4 linked regions of the Xenopus tropicalis genome follow. The protein of the gene in region 3 binds, or shares a complex with, the protein of the main gene of each other region. Links are inferred from orthologs where the notes say so. Each region holds a gene or a part of one and is shown on either strand. Other genes may lie near its edges. The genes, in order: actr2, arpc1b, arpc3 and arpc5.

Evidence for each region.
Region 1: arpc3 (region 3) and actr2 share a complex: the UniProt entries of both Homo sapiens proteins name them as parts of the arp2/3 complex. The link is inferred for Xenopus tropicalis from reciprocal best matches to the Homo sapiens genes ARPC3 and ACTR2.
Region 2: arpc3 (region 3) and arpc1b share a complex: the UniProt entries of both Homo sapiens proteins name them as parts of the arp2/3 complex. The link is inferred for Xenopus tropicalis from reciprocal best matches to the Homo sapiens genes ARPC3 and ARPC1B.
Region 4: arpc3 (region 3) and arpc5 share a complex: the UniProt entries of both Homo sapiens proteins name them as parts of the arp2/3 complex. The link is inferred for Xenopus tropicalis from reciprocal best matches to the Homo sapiens genes ARPC3 and ARPC5.

The regions. Positions count from the first base shown.
Region 1 is NC_030681.2:31,966,207-31,972,120, reverse strand, and holds part of actr2 (actin-related protein 2), read left to right. Parts: intron 1-2,198; coding exon 2,199-2,414; intron 2,415-3,145; coding exon 3,146-3,218; intron 3,219-4,338; coding exon 4,339-4,475; intron 4,476-5,288; coding exon 5,289-5,438; intron 5,439-5,914. UniProt on the Homo sapiens protein: ATP-binding component of the Arp2/3 complex, a multiprotein complex that mediates actin polymerization upon stimulation by nucleation-promoting factor (NPF).
Region 2 is NC_030685.2:41,788,171-41,794,632, forward strand, and holds the start of arpc1b (actin-related protein 2/3 complex subunit 1B), read left to right. Parts: upstream 1-2,834; 5' UTR 2,835-2,963; intron 2,964-6,462. UniProt on the Homo sapiens protein: Component of the Arp2/3 complex, a multiprotein complex that mediates actin polymerization upon stimulation by nucleation-promoting factor (NPF).
Region 3 is NC_030677.2:162,788,987-162,794,900, reverse strand, and holds part of arpc3 (actin-related protein 2/3 complex subunit 3), read left to right. Parts: intron 1-3,420; coding exon 3,421-3,520; intron 3,521-4,133; coding exon 4,134-4,210; intron 4,211-4,373; coding exon 4,374-4,442; intron 4,443-5,208; coding exon 5,209-5,335; intron 5,336-5,914. UniProt on the Homo sapiens protein: Component of the Arp2/3 complex, a multiprotein complex that mediates actin polymerization upon stimulation by nucleation-promoting factor (NPF).
Region 4 is NC_030680.2:99,902,403-99,908,815, forward strand, and holds the start of arpc5 (actin-related protein 2/3 complex subunit 5), read left to right. Parts: upstream 1-2,067; 5' UTR 2,068-2,094; coding exon 2,095-2,234; intron 2,235-3,363; coding exon 3,364-3,436; intron 3,437-3,806; coding exon 3,807-3,983; intron 3,984-5,048; coding exon 5,049-5,111; 3' UTR 5,112-6,413. UniProt on the Homo sapiens protein: Component of the Arp2/3 complex, a multiprotein complex that mediates actin polymerization upon stimulation by nucleation-promoting factor (NPF).

The sequences.
Region 1 (5,914 bases), on a different chromosome or scaffold from region 3:
ATTAATTGTGCGCGACTAATCTACCCGTGTAGATTCAGAAATGCTCTCTCTATAGCAAGGGCAGCTTGCCCTTTTGTTAGTTATTCTGATTTTATATATAAACAGATGCAGGTACTGCTTAGATCATTCAAAATAATGGCATCTGTTAATACAAACAGGTTCCCTGTTAGTGCTAAAAATAATCTGCCAGTAATAGTCTGTTCCATGAGCACGCAGAGCTGTGCAACTTACATAAAGCCAGCCACTTTAGCATCAAAGAATTACATGTAATACCTAAAGCTTCTTGCTGTTCATGATTGTGTGTTGGCATTCGTAGGCGTGATTTTTAACAATTACCGGTAACTTCCGCTGAAATGTTGTTCCTAGTTCATTAACATGCATGAATTCTTTGGAACACATTTGCAATCGTAACACTTAATATTGTTTAAAATTTACTAATATGTTTGACCATGTTTTTTATAGAACAGTATGTGCTGAAATTTACAGAGCAGAATACGTATTTCACAATAAACATATTAGTGATTTAGGTGCATGTGGTGCTTCTGCATTACCTTTGCAAATACTCAATGCCCAGTTTAGTGGTAAGGAGAACATCTCTAACATGTAATGCTTTGTGGGATTCTGCTGCCTGTCTTTAGCTGCCCTTTGCCATTTAGAGAAATGTGCTCATTTTATAATAAACCAGAGCTTAAAATATCTGTTTTCCACCCACATTGATCTGCTAAACAGTTTGCTATATAACTGAGTAGGAGGAACTGGAAGCTAAGCAAATGTGTTGGTATGCTAAAGGCCTTATCAAGGTGATTTCTTGAATCAGGTTTGTTAGCATAGGCTGATAGGTTTGATAGGATAATCAGTCTACCAGGTACACTTACACTGTCAGGGTACTGTCAAATAATATTTTATTTAGTATTTACCAGTTGCATTCACACACAAACTAGACCACATTAGTATTATTGTGTATTTATAAAGCTCCAATATATTCTGCAGCGCTGTAAAAAAAAAAAAATAATGTGCTGTCAGTAGTATATTGGCATGTATATGTGGCCAAAGGAATGGCATGATCAAATGATATCTCGCAAGTTTAAAAACCTCATAACGCAAGGACTTCATCAACTGGTTATGAAGTGTTTTAGTGTCAATGGTAAACAAAAAAACCCTAGGGGGGCAGTTAGTTACTCTTTTACTGGTAGTCCCTTTAGTGCAGGGTTCCCAAACTTATTATACCTGTTTGCCTTATTCAAATGGAAAAAGTGTCAGGGAGCAGCACAAGCATGGAAACATTTCCTGGGGGTGCAAGCAAGAGCTATAATTGGCTATTTGGTAGCCCCTATGTGGACTGGCAGCCTACAGAAGGCTCTGTTTGGCATTTTGCCAGGTTTTTATGCAACCAAAACTTGCCCCCAAGCCAGGAAATCAAAAATAAGCACTGGCTTTGAGGCCACTGGGAGTAACATCCAAGAGGTTGGTGAGCAACATGTTACCCCTGAGTCACTGGTTGGGGAACACTGGTTTAGGGCCTCGGTCTCATAGAGCTGAATCTTGAGCAACTTTGCCATAAGTAGAATTTTTCTTTATAGTATGTGTTGCCATGCATAAACATGCAGTTGTTTTATGGTGGGCGTTAAAAGTCAGAAATTGAAAAAAGTCAAACTAGGAACAAGATGAAGTCCAAAGTTAAATATTTTCAACTATTTTTTTCATTAGAGGATTTTTATTACTAGAACTTAGTAAATGTGTAAATGCTTTACCTTTCTCAACAGTTTTGTTTTAGCAAGGAATCCTCTAAAGCTTTTCAGGATGCAGTCTAATGCACCTCTAGGCCTACAGCTAAAATACAGTATGGTAATGAACCAGTGACGTGCAGTCTGTGGCTATTCTTATACCTACTCCTGGGACACACACAATCATACCACCCTGAACTGCTGCCATTTACTGGTTGGCTGTGGGTTTGTTTCTTTTGTTCAGCACCAGTAGTTGAGGGTGCATTAGATTGATCTAATTTTCAAAATTTAAAAGGCCTATGCGAATATATACCCACCAGTATCTGAATGTGGCTATTTGATACCCAGTTACAGGGAATAGGCTGCTGAGCTTTTGTGCTCTTCCTGGGCAAGTAATTTTATGCAGCATCTTAAATGGCATTACATTTCATTTTTATACACACATTTGAGAGCTATGTTTGCTATGATTTTTAGGATCTGATGGTCGGTGATGAAGCCAGCGAGTTGCGTTCAATGCTGGAAGTGAACTACCCCATGGAGAATGGTATAGTGCGGAATTGGGATGATATGAAGCACCTTTGGGACTATACCTTTGGACCAGAAAAACTGAACATAGACACCAGAGACTGTAAAATCCTGCTTACAGAGCCCCCCATGAATCCAACTAAAAACCGTGAAAAGATTGTTGAGGTATGTTATCCCTTGTACATTGACACCATTAAGTGACCAGAAACATCAAAAAAGTATCTGAGTAATTAAAATATAATGTACTGTTGCCCTGCACTGGTATAAGTTGTGTATTGGTTTATAATAAAGTATAAATAAAGTCTAATAGTGCTTCTTAAACAAAGCTGCTGTGTTGCCATGGGGGCAGCCATTCAAGCTTTAAAAAAGGAGAAAAGGCACAGGTTACGTAGCAGATATCGGGTAAAAAACCATTGTATTTTACAGACCTTTTCTGTTACCTGGTATTTAACCTATGCTTTTTCTACTTTTTTGTCAGCTTGAATGGCTGCCACCCAGCTTATTTGTAGTAGTAGTTTTGTAGTAGTGTTTCTAAAGCATATTATCCCCCCCCCACATTAATTATTATTGCTTAGCTGTGACCTGGGCTAGTGCTTGTGTTTGTGGAAATCTTCACTGCCTTAGGAGCTCATTTTTTGCCATCTTCTGTTTGGCCCCATTCAGGGCACGCATGGGTAGTACTCTATGGTACAGATTTTGGCAAAAAACAGGCATTAGGAAAGTTTATAATTGAGCTTATACTTATACTTATATGATCTTTATAGCACTTAGTATAAAAGTGCTCCTGGTGCCTATTTAGTCATATTATCACTTATTTGTCTTACTCCATTAATTTTTTCTTTTTTTTTCTTTTATTTAAGCAGTATAATAACGAAATGTATAAATTCTGTTTACAGGTAATGTTTGAGACCTACCAGTTCTCCGGTGTGTATGTAGCAATACAGGCCGTACTCACATTATACGCACAAGGTGGGTGATTTCTGAAGTTTTGTCTGTATGTATGAAATATTGTCAGAATATTTTCCCCTTGTAATCTTTTACATGAGCCGTAGCAGTGTGTACTTAACGCTGATTACCCATTTTCACACAAGTTTCACAAACAAATTCTGCTTGTAATTTATTTTACTTGGAAATGTGAATTTACAGGACTGCAATGCACAATACTGAATCTTGCTTATTACATTGGAGAGACTGCGCTGTTTAGTTTCTCTTTGCTCAGGTTATGAGCAAATTCAGGAAGTTGTTTCAACATGGCTGCTATATTATACCTGCTGATGGCTGCTGATTACTGGTGGCAACACCAGTAATACATTCATAGAATTTCCAGAGAGCCTTTCACCTTCTAATATTTCTGTTAGACGAATATAGTGGTAAAATAAATTATAGTCACACCCTTTAAATTACTTTTCTGTGTTACTCCAATAAATAACAAATGGCAGTCGCTGGTTTTATCACTACAAAGTACTGGCCACATACCATAAGGCTTATGTCCCAAGAAGCAAGTTAGATAGATCTCTGTTGCCATGGGCAACTAACCTCTCGGTAATGGCTTTCCACCGGCAGCAAAAGGAGTTATTCACCAATGGTAGCAGAGATCTATCCTGGGCAACTAACATTGGGACATTAGCCTTAGTGCCCCATCCTCTCCCTTCCAACAAAATGAGAGGGGGCAAAAAAAGATCAAGCTATCTCCTTTAGTTAAAATAAAGGATAACACAAATATTCAGTTCTGTTACAAGCATGGAAACTGTTTTATAAATAAAACAAATAGTCCATCTTTGGGCTTCTTAGATGCTGGTTCAGTTTATTTGATGTTATGATCTATTGCAGGCAAGTGCTTAATGTAGCTGACTAAGTATAGGTACATCCTTTTGTTGTTTATGCTGTTGGTACAAATTTCTGTAAATTCAGCATGAGCCATATGTCATTTCACACACACGGGTAAAAGCGTTACCGCACTTAGATAATGATCGACACTGGAGGCCTCATACCTGTTGCCAGTAATATGTCAGTAACAAATTGGATCTGTAGGTGGAACTGAAGCCGGTTTATTAATGTTGCATGTTTGTTCACTTCAACTTCTTTCTAGGTCTCTTGACTGGTGTTGTGGTTGATTCTGGAGATGGTGTCACACACATCTGCCCTGTGTACGAAGGCTTCTCTCTGCCTCACCTCACCAGGAGACTAGATATCGCAGGCAGGGATATCACCCGCTACCTTATAAAGGTAAAATTAAAGAAGGTTTCATTTTATCACTCCTGCCTGTCATTGTTGCTAAAAATGGGTAATCTGAGAGATTCATTTATATAAGTGCTGTCCTGCTGGATTTTATTTATACTGCAACTCGAATGATATTTTTGATATTTCTAATGTGAAGTCAGAATTGCCCTCAGAATTGTGCTAGTACTGTTAAACCATTCCTATTTAAGTTAATGTAGTCCCTTCCAATATCACTGGACTTTAAAAATATATTGTGCTGCCTGGTAGTTTAGAAAAACATGCATTACATGGCTGCGTATAACAAGGGTACTCAAGTGTCTTAGTGATTTTTAACTTAATAAGCCCTTTATCCATGATAATTTCTCCAGTATAGTGTGGTATACTCGTCAGTAGATTTACGCTGTATTTTGACTGAAAATAAACCTTCTTGTATATTAGACACCCTTCCTAACAGTAAGGATAAGTAAAGCAAATGCAATGCATGCTTAGGGTTCCCCCGCTAATATAAAATATAAATTTAATGTAATCTATTGCATGATTGCTATGGTAAATGTCACTAACAATCCAGTTAGACTAAAAATTTCTTCTGAATGCAGTGTTTAACCACACTAAATGGGGCGAAAAAAATAAATCCTAATAATAGCACTGTATGCATCGAATGTAAAATTTAGTTGTGTTAAACCTCTTATTTAAATTTAAAAAGCTTTCATTTAAATTTGAATAAATACATTTTTCTGTTACAAAACACTTTCACAAGTGAACATATAGATAAGCTTGTATAACTGTTTCCAATGATGTATTTCAATCTGACTCCTGCAGTTGCTCTTACTACGAGGGTATGCTTTCAACCACTCTGCTGATTTTGAGACTGTTCGTATGATCAAGGAGAAGCTTTGCTATGTGGGATACAACATTGAACAGGAGCAGAAACTTGCGCTAGAGACAACAGTCCTTGTGGAGTCTTACACAGTGAGTACCATACTCCTCTCCCAAGCATTCTGTAAACAAAGTGTTTGTGTTTCTTTAAAGATATGAAAAGCATTCTCTCTGTATCAGTGGTGTAACTAGATGTTTTAAAGCCCCCATCCACTGCCATCTAAAGAGACCCCTCCCTGCTCCTCGCAGAGTCTTTCAGTGAACAGTGTCTCTGATAGTAAAACTGCTCTATACAAGCAGAACAGTGCAGCGGAGCTAGCAGACAGCATCTTCTGAATCTTCGTGTTTTCTTCGGATCAGATCGGCGACACAGAGCTTGCTGGTGCATGCACGGTTAGAAATAGTCTGGGCTTTCCGTCAACTATACATGTGCCAACAAACTCTGTGTCGCCTAACTGATCTGAAGAGCACTATTGCACAGTTACCAGTGCAGGGCAAAAGTACAGTATAGTTTAAAGGACATGTAAACCCCACACACAAAAATGTAATCAGTGAACAGCCTCTTTGAA
Region 2 (6,462 bases), on a different chromosome or scaffold from region 3:
CCTCTCATCGCCATACAATTGCAGTTACACACAAACAATACTGGAGGGGTGGTTCACCTTTACATTAACTTATAGAATGCCCTATTCCCTGCAACTTTGCAACTTTTTAAACCACTGCCTGGTTATTGGGGTAAAAAAGACCCTAGCATCCAAATAGCTTTTAAAATGGAGAGCTGCTGACAAAAAGCTAAAAATAAGAAATGAACACCACTTGTTAATTTTCTTAGAATATTAATGTCTACAAAATTTTAAAAGTTAATTTAAAGGTGAACTACCCCTTTAAGATAAAGTAAAAAGAAAAAAACAAGTTGCATTTAGAACTCTTACTGAAAAAACATGAGGAAAAACGCAGGCCTGTGGTTGTCACAAGATGGAATTCCTCCATTTAGGTGAAGATAAACCTCCAATTGTATGCGCATAAACTACACAATTGAACTGTTATACTGTTATACTATTTTATTTTTTATTTGGTAGCATAGGCAATTTTTTATATTGAAGGAGGAGGGAGGCACCAAAAATGAATAGTTATATAAATGATCCTCAGTCCCCATGCATTCTCAATTAGACAACAATATAAAGCAAGCCAACTAGCCAATGCCAAGGCACAAAGCAGAGGTATAATAATAAGGCACAATTATTATTAGGAATAAACATGTTAATAAAATAAATAAGTCTAGGGCTGGGAAACTGCAGAAAACCAAGTTGAGGGCAGTGGCACCTAATATATGCTGAGAGAGAAATGATATTGGTAAGGGCTCTGGCACATGGAGAGATTAGTCGCCCGCGACAAATCTCCCTTGTTGCGGGCGACTAATCTCCCCGATATGACATCCCACTGGCGATTTACATTTTCGCCAGTGGGATGTCATATTGGGGAGATTAGTCGCCTGCAACAAGGGAGATTTGTCGCGGGCGACTAATCTCCCCATGTGCCAGATCCCTAAAGGGTGATTTTTTGTTTCGGAAGGCTGTTTATAGTAATATTCTTTGTTTTTTTCATAATAAACTGGCACACAAATTCAGCTAAGTAAAATAAATGCTGTACTAACTTGATGCTTAAATGCAGAGCCAATTGCCCCTTGAAAATGTGGCAGATAAAGTGCATTGCCAACTCCATGTATAATGCTCAAGAACATAGTATTTTTATGCTTTATTTATAGCAGCAACATATTTCATGGCACCATACAGAAGATTATACATCATTCCAATCAGTTTCTGCCCTTGTGGAGCCTACAATCTACAATTCTATCTGGAGCCAATTAACCTGCCTGTATGTATTGGGGGGGTGGGGAGAAACTGGAGAAAATACAGACTAACATCTGCAAGAAAAAATAAAATCCCGATTCCAAATAATACCCCATAATTATTATGGATCAGATACAATATTTTTGTAATTTACTTAAAGGGACAGTAACACCAAAAAATGAAAGTGTATAAAAGTAATTACTATATAATGTAATGCTGCCCTGCATTGCTACAACTGGTGTGTTTTCCTTAGAAAGACTACTATAGTTTATATAATAAAGCTTCTGTGTAGCCAAGGGGGCAGCCATTTACAGGAGAAAAGGCACAGGTTACAGATAACAGATAAAACCCCATTATATTCTACAAAGCTTATCTGTTATCTGCTATGTGCCTGTGCCTTTTCTCCTTTTTCCCAGCTTCAATGGCTGCCCCCGTGTTGACATAGCAGCTCATTTATATAAACTATAGTAGCGTTTCTGTTGCAAACTTACCAGTTTTACCAGCGCAGGGCAACTGTACATTATATTTTAATTACTTTAAAGCACTTTCATTTTTTGGTGTTACTGTTCCTTTAAGCTTGTATAAGCACTGCACACAGACACACAAAGGAGTCTCGTTTAGATATGCACATAAAGGAATTCTGAAAACACACCCAGATCTCTCCCCTCCCCTTACTAAGCATTTCTCTCTATTTTGCTTCCGGTGCACTGGTTATATGAGCAGGAATTTTGGCCCCATGGAGATGTACTGATTGCCAGTGTCTGCACAGTGTTTTCTTTTCAAGCTGAAGTGTCAGTATTATCAGGCCCGGATTTGTGGCGAGGCCACAAAGGCCCGGGCCTAGGGTGGTATGCCGCCCCACCGCAACAAAATTTTGACATTTTGCACCCATACGGAGCAAAATAAATAAAAGATAGCATTTGGAATGTTCATGGAATTGACATTGTATTTGATCCATAATAATTCTGGGATATTATTTGGAATTGGGATTTTATTTTTTCCTCCCAACTGCTCCGTATGGGAGTTTAAATGCCCGTGCATGCATGCTTGCGTCGGCGCGGCGCAGGGGTGGTGGGTTTGTTCGCGCATGGGCGGCCTAGGGGCGCCAGGATTTGAAATCCGGCACTGAGTATTATTATACATATGTTGGGCACTGACGCACAGTTATCTGAAGTTCTGAATTTAGATCTCCCCTGACACACTGAGCTCTCTCTGTCTTTAGTTCCTGCCCTCCTCCTACTCCCTCCTTGGTTTAGAACAATTAAGTTAAAGAGGTCATAGTGGGACAGTGAGCCCTTAAAATCAATAGGCCATGGGCAGATTCCACATTTAACCCTTTTATTACAGGGGCCCTAGATGCATATTTACATGATAATGTCCTTTTATATTCGCCACACTCCAATTCAACCCAAAAAGGCCCTGGACCAATACTTTTCCAAAATCTATGCAAAAATGTATTACATTAAAATTTTCCAGCAATCTCCCTGTGCTGATTTCATCAGCCTAAGGAGCAGTAAGCTGAGGGGAGGGTTTTACTGTTAGTAATGCTTTCCTCTGTCTCTGAGCTTGCACTCCCCACCCCCACATAAGGAAGTAGCAAAAAGCCTGGGCAGAGTCTGATACAAGTTCCAGACATTCAGCATTCCGCTGCATCTGTGTTGACTGCTCAGAGTCCACGGACAGCAGCCGTCTTTCCCTGTACCTACTAACAGGAGCAAGTGAGTATTTCATGCAATATCTTTGTGCTACTTGGATTCTGTTGATCCTAACTGACGGTGCAGAAATTTCTCTTGTACTAAATATTTGCTCTGAGTTAGGGCGTATCCTGTAGCTTCATGGAGAACTCAACTTCCTCTGTGTGCTGTTAGTGTCTTATATATCTTCCTATACCTGCTTCTCTGCCGAAACCTTTACTTTTGTCCCTGTGGACTTGGTGAGCATCATTAAAATATTTAAACAAAAGTTACTACTGAAGTTTGAAAAGTCAACCTGCCCGGATCAAACCAATTGCAAAATCTTTTAAGGGAACCCTGCAAGAAATGAGTTATTAGTACTAGCCACATTAAACTTAAAAAAACAAAAAACACCCTTCTTACTTTATTGCTCTAATTCAATGCATTTTAAAATGCGCATGAGGAACCACGCCTTGACTTTTCAATCAGTGAGGAATACTCCTCTTTAAGGGTGAAAGGCACGCAGAGCTACTTGTCACAGCTACTAAAAGAGACAATGCTGATCGTTTACTGCTAATTGTGTCTCTGTGTGTTTTAGCAGAGGCAATAATCAGTATTGTCTATGGCAGGGTATTTTCTTTAGTAGCTGTGACAAGTAGCTGCTACTAAGTAGCTCCATGTATCTTCATCCTAAGGGCCCGTTAAGTTAACTCAAAGGTGAATAACCCCTTTAAGTATCAAGTTTGTGTGCCAGTTTACTATGGAAAAAAAAACAAAGAATATTCCTATAGCTTCCTCAAACCAGCTCTCTCTCTCCACGGATAAGGTGTGCATGTGCTTTTGCAGAGAGATGAGTGGCTTTTCATGTTACATTTCAGCAGCAGCCGGATTCGCTGCCCACCCTTCCTTAGTACCTAACTCGGTTGTCTGCACTTTGTTAGTCCTGGACTTATTTATTTTATTAACTTGTTGTGCCTTTTGGTATATACCTCTGTTTTGTGTCTTGGCATTATCTAGTTGGCTTGCCTTATATTGTTGTGTAATTGAAGATGGATAGAGATTGATAATTATCTATATTACTATTCATTTTTGGTGCCCCCTCCAATATAAAACATTGCCTAAGCAACGAAAAAAAACATGACTGGCCCCCAAATTATTGCCAATTAACATCCTAAGACCTTATGCCTCTGTCTTGGGCCTTGGCTAGTTGGTTTGCCTTGTATTGTTGTCTTATTGCTGAAATTTTGGGTGAGAATGGATAGCGACTGATAGTCGAATAATTTGGGTTGGGGGCGATGTGGGACACCGGCCTATGGGTGTTCTCAGGGGAAATCCGGCCCTGAAAATATCCCTGCTGATGCAGAAAACCTTAAATCACAAGTTGGATAGTATAGTAGAACTATAAGTGTTAAAGAGAAAGTCACTTCAATATGCCAAAATATTCTCTACGGACGAGTATGGAGCCTGCAGAGCTGTCAACTCCCCTTATTTCTTTGAGAGTTACCCAATTTTAAAGGCTCTGCCCCATTCTCCCTTCCCCCAGCAGTAGTCTTATGAATTCCTACAATGAATTTCAGACGAGCATTAAACATTCAGTGATGTCACTTGATGCATTTGCACATGTACAGGGAGAATTTTTTGGCTTCAGTAGCGATTTTGTGTGTGTGCGTGACGGCACTTCCGAAAGTATGTGTAACTTTGCTGCCGGGTATCGGGGAAAATTTTCGGGGGCACAGTTCCCCTGGCTAGTCTAGCTGTCACGTTGACAGCTCTGAACCTCCAGAATACTGAAGACTAGAGGGTTTCCAGATAATTGGTTTTCTGTAATTTGGATCACCATTCCTTAAGTCTACTACAGTTTCTAAATATACCGTGTGTATGTGTGTGTATATGTATGTATGTATGTATATAGGTAGTTATATCGCACTGCATAGATTTTCATATTTCCTCTCTGCAAGCCAAGGGGCCTCTCACCCTTTGAGCATAGTAATCTTTTTCCATTCCTTTGCTGGTCATTGATCGGATTGGCTGACATGTTTTGGCCAATCCGATCAGGAAAATGCAAATAAAAGGGGCATGTGCAGTACTGTCATTCTGACACAGCCAGAGGATCAGTGACCCTGGAACATGCACACATACTCATGCAGTACATGTTTCTCTAGACTAGAGGAAAATTTCAGGTGACTTTGGGAAATCGTAGCGACGCGTATTCCATCCCACCGGCGATTTACGTTCTTGCCGGTGGGATGGCATTGCTGGGAGATTGGTCACCCACAGCAACAAAGATTTGTTTGCGGGGCAACTAATCTCCCCATCTGCAACTGCCCTTAGAATCCAAATCAAGAGTGAATCCAGTGAGTGAGCATGGGGAAGGCAGTAATGGGGAGGCGCTACTGATGTGTGTGTAAATGTGCTAGGGAAGGTAGATTAGAAACTTCCCTCTAATGCAGAGTTTAGTGGTGTGACCACTTCCTGTGAGAGAATGAAGAGACACTCCTAGTTTCAGCCTAGACTCATGCAGCTCTTTTGCAGCTCTTGCCAAAAAGGTAAAATGCTTTAAAAATGTATATTTCTGCATCATTATTGTGAGAAGGGAAGAATAATATACCTGAAGATGAGTATTGCATAACATATCCCCTTTAATAAGGTAAAGAGAAGTTGATGGTGGTAAAGCTCTGAAATTCAGCAATGTATCAATTAATGTGTTTTAGTTGATACACAACAAAATTTCATATACATTTTTAAAAAGATTTTCAGATATTCTTTGTAACTAGACTCAGGTAGACTGTAAATGGAATATTAAACTGGTGAATACCATCAAATGCAAACAACTTTAAGAATGAGATGAGAAACCAATTAAACAACAGACATTATATTTTTGACTTGTTTAACGAGGAATATGCAGAAATCTTTTATAAAGTGTTCAAGTACCACTGCCTATTTTTCTTTTTACTGGAGAACCACAATAATAAGGGTAAATATTAGGGATGCACTGAACCCACTTTTTTGGGTTTGGCCGAACCCACCCTGATGGAGTCTGCTGAATCCTGAACTGAATCCTAATTAAGCATGTGCTAATTAAGATTGGAAAGGGTTGAAAGTTGCCGTGTACACAAATAAAATTCCTTAAAACTCCTTTCTGGGTGCTAATTAGCATATTCTAATTTATGCTAAGTAGGATTCAGATTCGGTTCGCCCGTTACCGTGGATTTGGCCGAAACCGAACCCATCAAAAAAAGGCTGGATTAGGCCCGAACCCCGAACCTAATCCGGGATTCAGTGCATCCCTAGTAAATATGAAACAATCTGATTGGTGACTTGCCTCATCTGTCTAAATGGCCAAACTCCTTTATTTGTTCAGAGCCCTCCCTGTCTGAGTCAATATTATTTGTTTCCACTAAAAAGAAAAATCCTTCAATTTATCTGGGGCTTTAAGTATTATGGAGTAAATAAAGCTCCCTTTAACTGTTTACAGAACCAAGGTAGTGCCAAGGTTTCACACTTAAATGGAATAAATGCCATTTTTTGACACAAGATCATTTAG
Region 3 (5,914 bases):
CCAATGGTTGGTGCTCACTGAAGGGATATCACCCTTAATTTATATATGAAAGAATTATATTATGTATTATACACTTAAATCGATATGCCTCCTCCTCTTCTGTGGATAGCACAGCAACCCCCCAGCATATAATTACACCCCTTGGGGACCATATAATGACTATATCCAAATGCCAAACTCCAGGAACAAACCCCTGCCAGGTTCACCTTCCACAGGCAGCATAGGGCAGGGAGAGTATGGCACACACAGGCAGCATAGGAAAGGCAGAGTATGGCACGCACTGGCAGCATAGGGAAGGCAGAGTATGGCACACACAGGCAGCATAGGGGAGGCATAGAGCAGGCAGAGTACTGCTTGCCCTACCCCTCCTGTGTGTGCCATACTCTGCCTGCCCTCCCCTGCCTATGTGTGCCATACTATGCTTGCCCTCCCCTGCCTATGTGTGCCATACTATGCCTGCCCTCCCCTGCCTATGTGTGCCATACTATGCTTGCCCTCCCCTTCCTATGTGTGCCATACTATGCTTGCCCTCCCCTGCCTATGTGTGCCATACTATGCCTGCCCCCCCCTGCCTATGTGTGCCATACTATTCCTGCCCACCCCTTCCTATGTGTGCCATACTATTCCTGCCCTCCCCTGCCTATGTGTGCCATACTATGCCTGCCCCCCCTGCCTATGTGTGCCATACTATGCCTGCCCACCCCTGCCTATGTGTGCCATACTATTCCTGCCCTCCCCTGCCTATGTGTGCCATACTATGCTTGCCCTCCCCTGCCTATGTGTGCCATACTATGTTTGCCCTCCCCTGCCTGTATGTGCCATACTATGCCTGCCCCCCCGCCTATGTCTGCCATACTATTCCTGTCCACCCCTGCCTATGTGTGCCATACTATTCCTTCCCACCCCTGCCTATGTGTGCCATACTATGCCTGCCCTATTGCACACACAGGCAGCATACAGTGACACAATGCTGGATGTGTCAGAGGGAATGTCTGAGGTGTGAACAGGGGAACAATGTGGGTGATTACAGCCAGAGCCTGAGGTGTGAACACTGCAGGGGGAAAACAATGAAGGCATTAAAAGGTGTGAACAGTACAGGGGATTACATGATTAAACAATACAGGGGGATTACAGCCTGAATCTGAGGTGTGAGCAATGCAGGGGGCAGTTAATCTCAGTACTGATACCATTTAAAGGTAATACACAAAGGTAAGCCATCAAAGCAGCCAGACAGGTGGGGGGCCACACAGAGGGGGGTCGCCAGGCCACCAGTTGGACAGCCCTGTTCTAGGGCAATGAGACACCAGTCATTTTGTTGCCCATGCAAGGGCAACAAAACAACTGAAAGACAATGCCATTACAGGCAATGCAAATTAAACAGATTGTGTGATAATGCCTTGGAGGGTACTTAAGCTGGCCATACACGTGGCGATCTGACGATGTTTCGTGCAACCATCGGTCGCACGAAACATCGTCAGATCCGCCACACACCATTCAGGGCTGAATCGGCAGGTAAGTAGGTAGAAACAATAGGATTTCTACCTCCTTCTGCCGATTCAGCGATGAAGGGAGATTTTGGTCAGGCGGCTTCTATGGCACCCGATCAAAATTTTCAAACTGGTCCGATCGGCGAGTCGGGCGATATCAGCAGCTTCCTGCGATATCGGTCGACTTGCTGACATACCTTCGTTTCGTACGATATTATCGGTGCGTGTATGGCCACCTTTACTCTAGATTATGCAATATAAAAAATTTTGCTGTGGCGATTTACATAGCCAGCAATGACAGATCATTTCAGTACAAAATCACCATTTGGTTCTAATCTGTTTACTCCCACATAGATCACCTGACAGGCAATAGTGCAGCACTTACTGTAACAGGGAGTGAAATAAACAGCTCTGTCTATTAGGTTCCTGATGTAAACTAGCACTGTGAGCACAGTACTTCATTTGAGGGAGAGGGCAGACTTTAGCACTTAAAATGGAAGTGTTTCAATATGGGATTGTTATGGCACATACTGCTAATATATTTAGGTATTTTATTTTTATGAAATCGCTTTGTGTGTATGAAACACCATACACAACAACCTTCTTTTAAGTGTGTGTTAAAACTCTTAGCATTTATGTACTATTATCACTGTCTAGTTTATAATAACCATACCCCTGTTTGTGTTTACACCTTGTAAAGCACTAATGTACATTTGTGGTTTTATATAATAGTGCAGCGGAAGCTTTGTGGGTTGCCATTCTGTACTATGCATGATTATCAGGGGGCTGGGATACAGGCCTGAACTGTGGGTTCTGACAAATGCCAGAGGGGCTACTGTAAGATGCCATAGACAGTCACTATATATTGGGCTGGTGGGGGCTGTTTGGGCCTCTGTGTACTTGAAATGCCAGGGCCTATTTTGAATCCCAGTCCAGACCTGCTGGAATAAATCATGGTTCTTCACATTGCTAACAGATGAAAGCCCCCTGAGCAGGTCACATGAATTTTGATCTGTTCTAAAAATGCCATAGGCCTTAATGTTTATTAGCGTGATTAGTTATGAAATTTGAGACTCAAAAGTAAAGCAAGGCCACACCTTTGTATAAAATATTGTTTCAAGGTCAAGTTTCAAGGTCAAGTATTGTATCCAAAATGTAGCTGTGCATGTTAGAACTATCCCACATAGCAATGACCCCCAGCTACTTCTGCAACATTATTTTACTCCTCCCTGAATGCTTAAAGGGGTCCTCCACGCACACAGTCTTTTGGATAAAAAGAAAACAATTCTAAGCAACTTTCATATACATAAGCAAAAGATTTTCAGTGGGTATAAAGTTATTTATAAAGATAGTTGTAATTGAAAGTACTGTTTGTTTATGTATTAAAACAATGTAACAGACCTAGAAGAGTTATGACAGATACTGTGTTCAGTAGCAATTACATTTACAAATAACTTTAAAACCATTGAATTTTTAAAATGAACGCATATTGGAAAGTTGCATACAATTACATTTTCTTTTACTGTGTAATAAATTGTTTTTGGATGGAGAAACCCTTTCATTTTAATGGTGATCCTTTTCTCTAAACGCAAAAGGATTTGGGTAACAGCATAGGCCTTAAAATCAGATATTAATTCTGAACATTATATATAAATCTTTTTATAATTGGTAATGTAAAACCGTAATTAGGAGAATTAGGATAAAATACTATAGAAACTGTCCACCTAATGGTACAGTTATTATGGCATAAATGTCTTACTGGTCAGCTAGTGGCTGCAGAAAATCTTGAAGGAATTGACTGAGGTATTGTGTAAGATTATACATTTCTAACAAAAAACAACTGTCTGGATAAAAAATAGTTTAATAAAAAACCTTTTCACACTGAGCATATATAGCTCTTAAAATGTTAAAGCTTTTCTGATTTGTGTTTCAGGCCTACCATTCAATGCTTATGGAGTCAGACACCAAGCTGATTGGTAACATGGCAATGCTACCCATAAGAAGCCAGTTTAAAGGACCAGCCCCTAGAGAAAGTAAGTCTTACCAACCCCAAATGTTTTACATAAATTCCTCATGTTATCCATGTGGCGGGTCTCAGCTTGCTGGAGGATTCCTCAATGCAACCAAGTGTTAATTCAGTAGTTCTCTTGGAATTTTTACTTTAGGCCCATCAATAGTCCGTGATGCAGTGATTGCTGCTTATTATGTAATATATATATATATATATATATATATATATATATATATATATATATATATAATTATATATTGTAATGCAAATAATAAAATTCTATATTGGAGATTATATGCATTATATAATGGGGTTTTGTGCTGCTTTGCATGTAGGTATATGTTATATATAGCTTTTTTTAATTGATCCATTAATGAGAGAGAAGGCATTGGGCATAATTTGCAACAAAAAAATATGAATTATGTTAATTAATGATATGTTGCCTATAGCAACCAATCAGATCTTGGTTGCTTGATCAAAGCGGATCAGTTGCTAAGGACAACTGCACTAGTACAATTGTTATAAATCGGCAAATATTTAAGTATTTAACTATTGCAAAATGAATATAAGTTTTTAGCTTGTATGAACATTACAGCATTTTTGTCCATAATCACTTTTGTATTTTGTCTTTCAAGCAAAAGACACAGATATCATTGATGAAGCTATTTATTACTTTAAGGCTAATGTTTTCTTCAAAAACTATGAAATAAAGGTAAGCTATCAGATCTCACTATGCAAAAAAATCTTACTGAAACGTTGCAAATTCTATATCCACATAGTGGGCACATTTCCTACTTCGCTTTATAATAATGTTTTTTTTCGCTAGTAAACAAAACTAATATTCACTGTTTGTATATAAACGCTTCTCTTTACAGAACGAGGCTGATCGGACATTAATATACATAACTCTGTATATTTCCGAATGCTTAAAAAAACTACAGAAGGTAAGATTTGGTAGCCTTTTTGTGCTACATACTACATGACTTAAAGGAGAACTATACATTATTAGGAAAAAAAAACTGACCAGCAGATAATTTATATCCCAAGTGACCTACGCATATACATGTATGTGTACTTGTATGTCACTCGTATCCACTAGTGCTGTAATGCACACCATCCCATTAGCCATGCATTGTATTTCCTTTGAATGCAGCTTAAAGAAAGCATATACATTTGTATGGCTGAAGTACTTTACACATAGCAAATTTTACCTGTCCCATACCATAAATGTTCTCTCTTTGTTTTGTTAGCTGTCCATTGTTTTACAAAAGTGCCTTTTTTATAGGCAGTGCTTCTGAATAAGGTTCTGTGTCTTGTTTAAGCTTCATTTGTGCAGAGTGCGAGATATACAAATGAACAAGGACAAGCCCTCATTGCTACAAATATGCACTTGGTGTATGTGTGAGACCCCTAAGCCAAGTTTATATTTACTTATTATAGCATGTTGCTGTATTTAAATTCTCTGTATAGTTTAATGAAAACAGAAAACATATGCTTTCATGTGACAGAAGTATCTCAATGTTGATCTAATGTAGATAAATAGGGCATCTGCTTTTTAAGTATAATTTGCCCTGTCAATGTGAAATCCTGTTGTTTTCTCGGGATACATTGTAGCCTTACATTCGTCTTCACCTCTGTGAATAATGGAAAACAGAAAAAATGTGCTCATGCTGTTTTGTTGGTTAATGTTTTTTTTTGTTGTTCTTCCAGTGCAATTCTAAAGGACAGGGAGAGAAGGAAATGTATACACTGGGGATTACAAACTTTCCTATCCCTGGAGAACCAGGATTCCCCCTAAATGCAATGTATGTGAAACCTTCCAACAAACAGGAGGATGGTAAGTAATCTGAGTTTTCTGTAGTGTAAAGGACCTTATGCCTAATTCCACAGATCAGTCTGTAAGGCTAATGTCCCACGGAGAGATTAGTCGCTACGATTTTTAAAAAGTGAGTTCCAGCGACAAGTCGCTCATTTTGTCTCTACATAGAGAAGAATAAAAATCGCCAGTACATAAAATGACAATACTACTTCAAATTGCTTATCGCTCCGAATCACTATGAGACCCTTTTTACAAAGAAATCACTGAGTGGGAAGTCGCTCTGATTTCCCCATTCACTGAATGTAATTTCTAATTGTGGGTAGGGAATACGACACCTGGATTCGTGGGAAATAGAATCGCTTTGTTGTTGAAATCTCTAGTTATCGATTGTTATGAAAAGACTTGCGACTTGTCGCTTGAACTCGTTTTTTAAAAATCGCAGCGACTAAATCTCCTCGTGGGTCATTAGCCTAAAGGTAGAGGCTTGCATGTAGTTAAAGTGGGTACCAGGTAGAAGCAGGCAGACATGCTAATTAAGGAAGGAAGGAACAGTGAAGTATGGTACTGGAGCAGGATATTAAATGAAGGAGCTAGCAG
Region 4 (6,413 bases), on a different chromosome or scaffold from region 3:
GTCCCACAGCAGAAAATTGCTATAAAAATGTTGTTATATATATATTACTATAGAGCTCATTTATGTCTGCATGCACAGTGGGCAACTTGCACTTTTCCCTGCAGTTAGCAGGGCATAAAAAAACACTTCCATTACAGGTTACAGTGTTAATATTCACAGCTTAGTCCTCTTAGTCCTTAGACCATCAGGTGCTGCTGGCCTATTGACAAATGAGCTACAGCCACCTCTGGACTAGGTGGTAGCTCCACTGTTCCCTCAGCACCCTGAATTAAGTGGAACAGATAAGTTGCCCCCAAAAAATAGGGTGCACAGGTCACTCGCACACTAAATACCAGAAATTACGTGAGCCAGACTTCAAAAATATTCCCTGCAATTGTGCCTTTTCATGGACATGGATTAGCTGACTACATTCATAATTTTTGGAATTGGCAAAATTCTGAATATTTCATAAAAGACTTGTCAAAATACTTATGCAACTCCAATCTCTAATGTCCGTGTGCAAATTTGAGAACAATCAATAAAATGCAATATCTATGAACAAAATTTCTGTTTATTTCAGTTATCCTGGATTCACTGAATCCCTGTTGCAAACCAAACAACTGAAATAACATAGAAATTGCATATGTGACAAATTTACAATTGTCCAAATGACGCTTTTTTTATTGCCACCCTACATAGAAATGAGTTTTTATGTCATAAAGTTGAAGTAGCAACATTTTGCCTGTACATGAGTTTGACATTATGAACACCACCAAAGTGTTGCTTATGATGAGAAAAAAACTCACATTGACTGATTTTAAACGGTACTCCAAATCCATGAAAATGGTGTCTAGAATGACAATTTACTGTGTATAAAATCACCATATTAACCAAATGCAGAAAGACTTTTAGAATCTGTCTTTTTAACAACAAAAAAAGAAGAAAGTGTGCCTAGTAAAGCCTGTCAGGCAATGGAAGGGCATAGTTGCTCCTGTGTTCCCATTCTTATTACTGTTTGACGCTATATTGAGGTTTTATGTCACCTGTGAGAACTGGGCAGGAAACTTTTTTGCCTTCCTCTGGATCAGCTACCAGTTAGGCAGGTTATATATAGGCATTATGGTTGAACTTGATGGACATATGTCTTTTTTCAACCTAACTTACTATGTTACTTGTTAGGGGTCCACAACCCGGGGGGCAATAATTGTCTGCCACAGGATATTCTTTTTTTTTTTAATTCTATATTTACACGTCTTTCGTAAGGGCTGTGACAGACGGGGAGATTAGTCGCCATGCGACAAATCTACCTTGGTGCAGGCGACTAATCTTCCCAAAATGCCATCCCACCGGCTAGAATGTAAATCGCCAGTGGGATGCCATACGCGGCGCTGAAATCGACAAAGTTTCCTCTCGAGGCAACAGCCCCAAGGAATGGAGGAGGCTCAGAAGGAAAAGGGGGAGGGGGTAGAACAAGCAAAAACTATTTTATATTAAACACTAACATTATAACAAGATCTGACAACAAGCCATTGCTATAGTACCATTACATAAACTATTGGAACATTGAATTAAGGGGATGACAACCACAGGATATTATATAAAACATGCTATTGGAAATACACATATTCCATCAGCATATGCAGCAACACAGACTTCCACAAAATGCACTCAATACACTTACAATACCTAACTTTATTTATTTAGTCTGGATTTATATAAACACCCGTCCTGCACTGCGTGAAACCCACAAAACGGTGAGGACTTTGCCAGAAAATCCTTTTTTTCTGTACAAAAGCAGTCCAGCAAGCCATGCCACAGTTTTTTTTACCATGCAACAGGTCAGGTCACTGGAAAACACCAAACTGATTATCCCCTGACACCTCCACCGCCCAGGTAAATGTACTACCCACGGGCCCAGCCTGAGTGTCCCGCCTGGGTAAAGCCCACAGAATAGACTGAACGCTTTGATACTGCCTTAATCCCGGCAGAGGTAACCACACCAGCAAAACTAGCGCTCTGACAGTCTCCGGAAGCCGAGAATAAAAGCGGAAGCCGCTGCGCCTGCGCATTGAGTACGACCGCTCCCTGCCAGCAGCACAGAGTCTCCGGTTCGGGATGGCGAAGAATACGGTGTCTGCACGCTTCCGGAAAGTAGATGTGGATGAATATGATGAGAACAAATTCGTTGACGAAGAGGAGGCGGGAGAAGGACAGCAAGGACCCGACGAGGGGGAGGTTGATAGCGCGATTCGGGGATATCCTTGTATGTTGTCTGTGCTGGCAGGGCCTGGCATTGTACCTTTGTATGAACAGACATGCTCCTAATCGCCTGACATATGGGCTGTACCGTGTCATAGTGCTAACATGCTGAAGGTGTGCGGTGTCACATGGAGAGGGCTGACTGCCACTGTTTCCACTATTCCTGTCATGCTTTGTACTCATCTTCATCTTGCAAAGCCTATACTTCCCCCTACACCCTTCTCTTTGTTTGATCTCCAAGCTAAGGTTTCAGGAATATCTACTAGAATAAACTGGCATAGTCCTGATATGGTAGCCTAATAAGCTTTCAAACTGGAGTCAATACACATTTGCTTTTGTCTATGCACCTTGTCATTTGCTATGTGTGGATATGCAGAAGCTGTGCATACCAACTCCAGTTTGCACACTGACTCCATATTACATACCTAAAGGATCTATGGCAAGCAAAATACTTGCAAACCGTATATAGAGGCTCTGCTGTGTAGGAAATGTCAGTAGTTAATCTCCTTTTCCTACAAAGAGGAACTTGCTGTGAGGCTGTGGGAGTGTCAGTCACTTTATCCTGTGCATTTTGTTTCTTTTTCTCTGTCTATCTAAACAAAAACACTTTCTTTCTCACTCTCTCTCTGTTTGAAATCACATACATTTACATGCTTTCTTATCGGTGTTTCCAAGGGTGGATAATACAATAGTGGACTTTGAGCCAAGTTACACACAGGTTGAGCACACAGTTAAACACACCTTGATGGTTCTGTAGCAGTTATTGGTCGTTGTGGTGTTATAGTACAAGCTATATGTTTTTGTGAGGCAAGCTTGGTCTTGCTTCAGGTTTAGGAATGCAGGAAGTGGCTCAGTCTCAGTCATCAGGAAGCATGGGAACTTCTGCTTGGTTGGCTTTTTTTACACTTTTGTCCCAGATCTATATTTTTTTCATTAGTTTTAACACATTTTCAATTCAGACCATATTTCCATATATATGCACAGTAGGCTTTTTCAGATTTATGCTAATATTAGGCCAGGGCCATATAGGGATCTGTGAATATAAAGCATCAACTGAAATTGTTCTGTAATTATTGTATGGCATTTCTTTTGTGTCAGTACGTTATTCCCTTAACAGCTTGCTACAGGAAACATGATGGGAGCTCTGCAAGCTGCTCTAAAGAACCCACCAATTAATACCAAGAATCAGTCTGCCAAGGTAATATGCTTCTAGTAAAATACAACAGGAAACAAATTGTTATTCATTTGCTTATTATTTGCTGAAGGATAAATAAGGTAGTTATAAAGTGGCGTATTGGGTACAGAATATACATCAGTCAGTGCTTACTTCCTCTTTGCTTTTTGTTCCTCCTGCCAATAGTTTTATTGCCACACTATTTTATAAATTATATTCATATCTTACTTTCAGCCAAACTTATTTTGCTGCACTTAATGCATTCTGTACCAATAATCAGCCACTACTCAGTTGGTCATACCAGCAAGTTTTCCAATACAGTTTTACAATTTTCTAACTCTTTATTTTAAATTTTGGAGTATGGACATTGACTTTATCATTGCTTTTTACTTAGGATCGAGCTGAGCACCTGGTGCTGAAAGTTCTAATCTCCTTTAAAGCTAATGACATAGAAAAGGCTGTTCAATCTTTAGACAAAAATAACATGGACCTCTTAATGAAATACATCTACAAGGGCTTTGAGAGTCCGTCTGACAACAGCAGTGCTGTCTTGTTGCAGTGGCATGAGAAGGTGAGCAAAGTACTATGGAGCTGACAAACACATCAGGCATGCAGAGTAGGCACCTCTATTAGGTCATCATAGTCGGAGAGAGAGAAAGGGGGACTCATAAAGCAAAAGGGGCGGGGCTTCACACTAGACAAGGAAGCCGGTAAAAGAGATGCAGCTCATCTGCTTGTAATAGAGAGACAAAGTAATTCTGGATGCAGGGAAAAAAGGTATGTTATTCTGGGGGCTAAACAGAGTAATTTTAGAGTAAATTTAGATTAAAAAAAAAAAAAAAAAGGTTTACTTATTCTTTAAAGGCATACAGTGCCTTCCCATATAAGTAGATACCTTTTAATGCTGATCCCTCTTCTAAAAATGTTTCAGACCCTGTAGGTCTCCCCTAGCAGCAGTTGTTAGGGACAAAATTATCCATGAAATCTGATTCTATATTTTTGAGTGGTAGCAGTAACTGAGCAGTTTTGGAACACTGTTAACAGCACACTTCATGCCCTCCCAAAACTTGTTCAGTGAGGGAGCATGTACACAAGGATTTAACTCCTAGGGGCAAATTTACTAATTTGTAATGATCTGTATTTTGAGATTTTTTTTGTCGCCGTCGCGACTTTTCCGTCGCGAAAAAATCGTACTCTCGTGCCGAGTACGAAAGCGCTCAATACGAAAAAGTTGCGACAACTCGCGAAAGTCGTAACGGCTACGAAAAAGTTGCAACAATTTGCGACAATTCACGAAAAAATCGCAAAATGTTCGTTTCCAATCCGATTTTTCGAGTTTCTTCTTTATGGCAAAACTAAAATATGGCTTTAACAAAATAGTTGGACAAACCCAAGCAGGGTCTGTCCAGATTGACAAAATGTTGTCACTGAATCTAGAGGGACAGGAATAAATGATAGCACAGCCTCTTCTTTATACAGCTGTCACGTTTGGTCAGAATGCTAATGTATTGACAAAACCTTTTAAATAAACTCCTTATGGGTACTTTTGTATTAAAAAAAATAAGGCAACATTACCAATTAGCTGAATACATTACCACCTCATTTTTACTTTTGCCTATGTTTTTCTTTTCCATAGGCTCTGGCAGTGGCAGGCGTTGGCTCCATAGTCAGAGTTCTGACTGCAAGAAAGACCGTTTGAATGTTCATGTTTTGTGACAAGGAAGAGCTGGTGCCAAGACCAAAATCCTGTGCCGCAGCTAAGCTGTGGCAAGCCAACCCTTAACTCTTCGCTGCCACATTTCTATTCTTCCTTCTGTTTTTTGCAGCTTTGATTTTTTTATACATTTTTTGAACAAAGCAGTACAAGTGTGTGCTGTGAGTGCAGTGCTCTGTTGACAGAAGTATTAAGTTATCTGCATTTCATTACCTGCCCTTAATGAGCTGGGCTCTTCTGAATAATCACCCTTCCCCAAAAATATGTGGACTGATAGTAAATATAGGCACTTACAGTGCTCCCTTCACCTACATCTAACTGCACCTTCTAACCTCATTAATTCTAGGGCAAAAGCACCAAACTTGGTCTTAAGTCAAAGTCACTGTCCGTTCCTCTGCTTTGCGATTTTCCAGTCAGCTAGGAGCATACTCTCAGGAGTGGCGTTTTGCAATCTAAAGCTTTTATATCTCTGAACAGATATCTCCGATACATATCTTGGAGGAATCTGGATTTCATTACATTACTCCCTCAGGGCCTAAATGTTTAAAAGGGATATTTTGCGCTTGATGCAGCAGACAGTGCTTACTATGCAGCTATAGCAGCCTTTTCCCAAATCAAAAAGCAGAGATGACTTGATCACATTTACAAGTTCATCCATAGTCTGTTTATAAGTAAGTGTAAGTTACTTATAAGTAAGTAACATATAGTTAGACTTTGGGTCTTTAGGGAATTTGTCTGTTTTTCAGAACTTACCTCTTAATTGCCTAAAAGTACTTACTGACACTGTGCAGCCAATTGCCATACATCCAATAATGGCCTAAGATTACATTTTGGTTTTTATTTTTCCAGTAATAACAATAGAATATTTGAATGGGTTTCCTGTTTGTGGATTAAACAGGCATCTCGTCATTTTGGGATACAGCTGCTTTAGTTAATGAGCTAAAACTCCATATGAGGGTTTTATGACAATCCATAAGTATTCCAAGTGCACAGTAGGCTACTGGCTATTTGTCATTTACAACACAGCTAAAGGATGAAAAGCTTAATATAGTTTATCTGGCACCATTGATGCAAATAGATGCATTGTATAGTTGTGAGTCTCCTTCCTCTGCAAAGCATAATGTGACATTCAAATTCTATGATTATAGGTGGGAATTCCAAGGTGGAAAGCACTCAACAACCATATGCCTAAAGGAGTAAGGCCTTAGCCACTTCTGTGCTAGAGTCCTGACTCTTTAAAAATCTATTACAGGGCCTTTAGCAATGAAGCTGTTCAACTTTGCTATG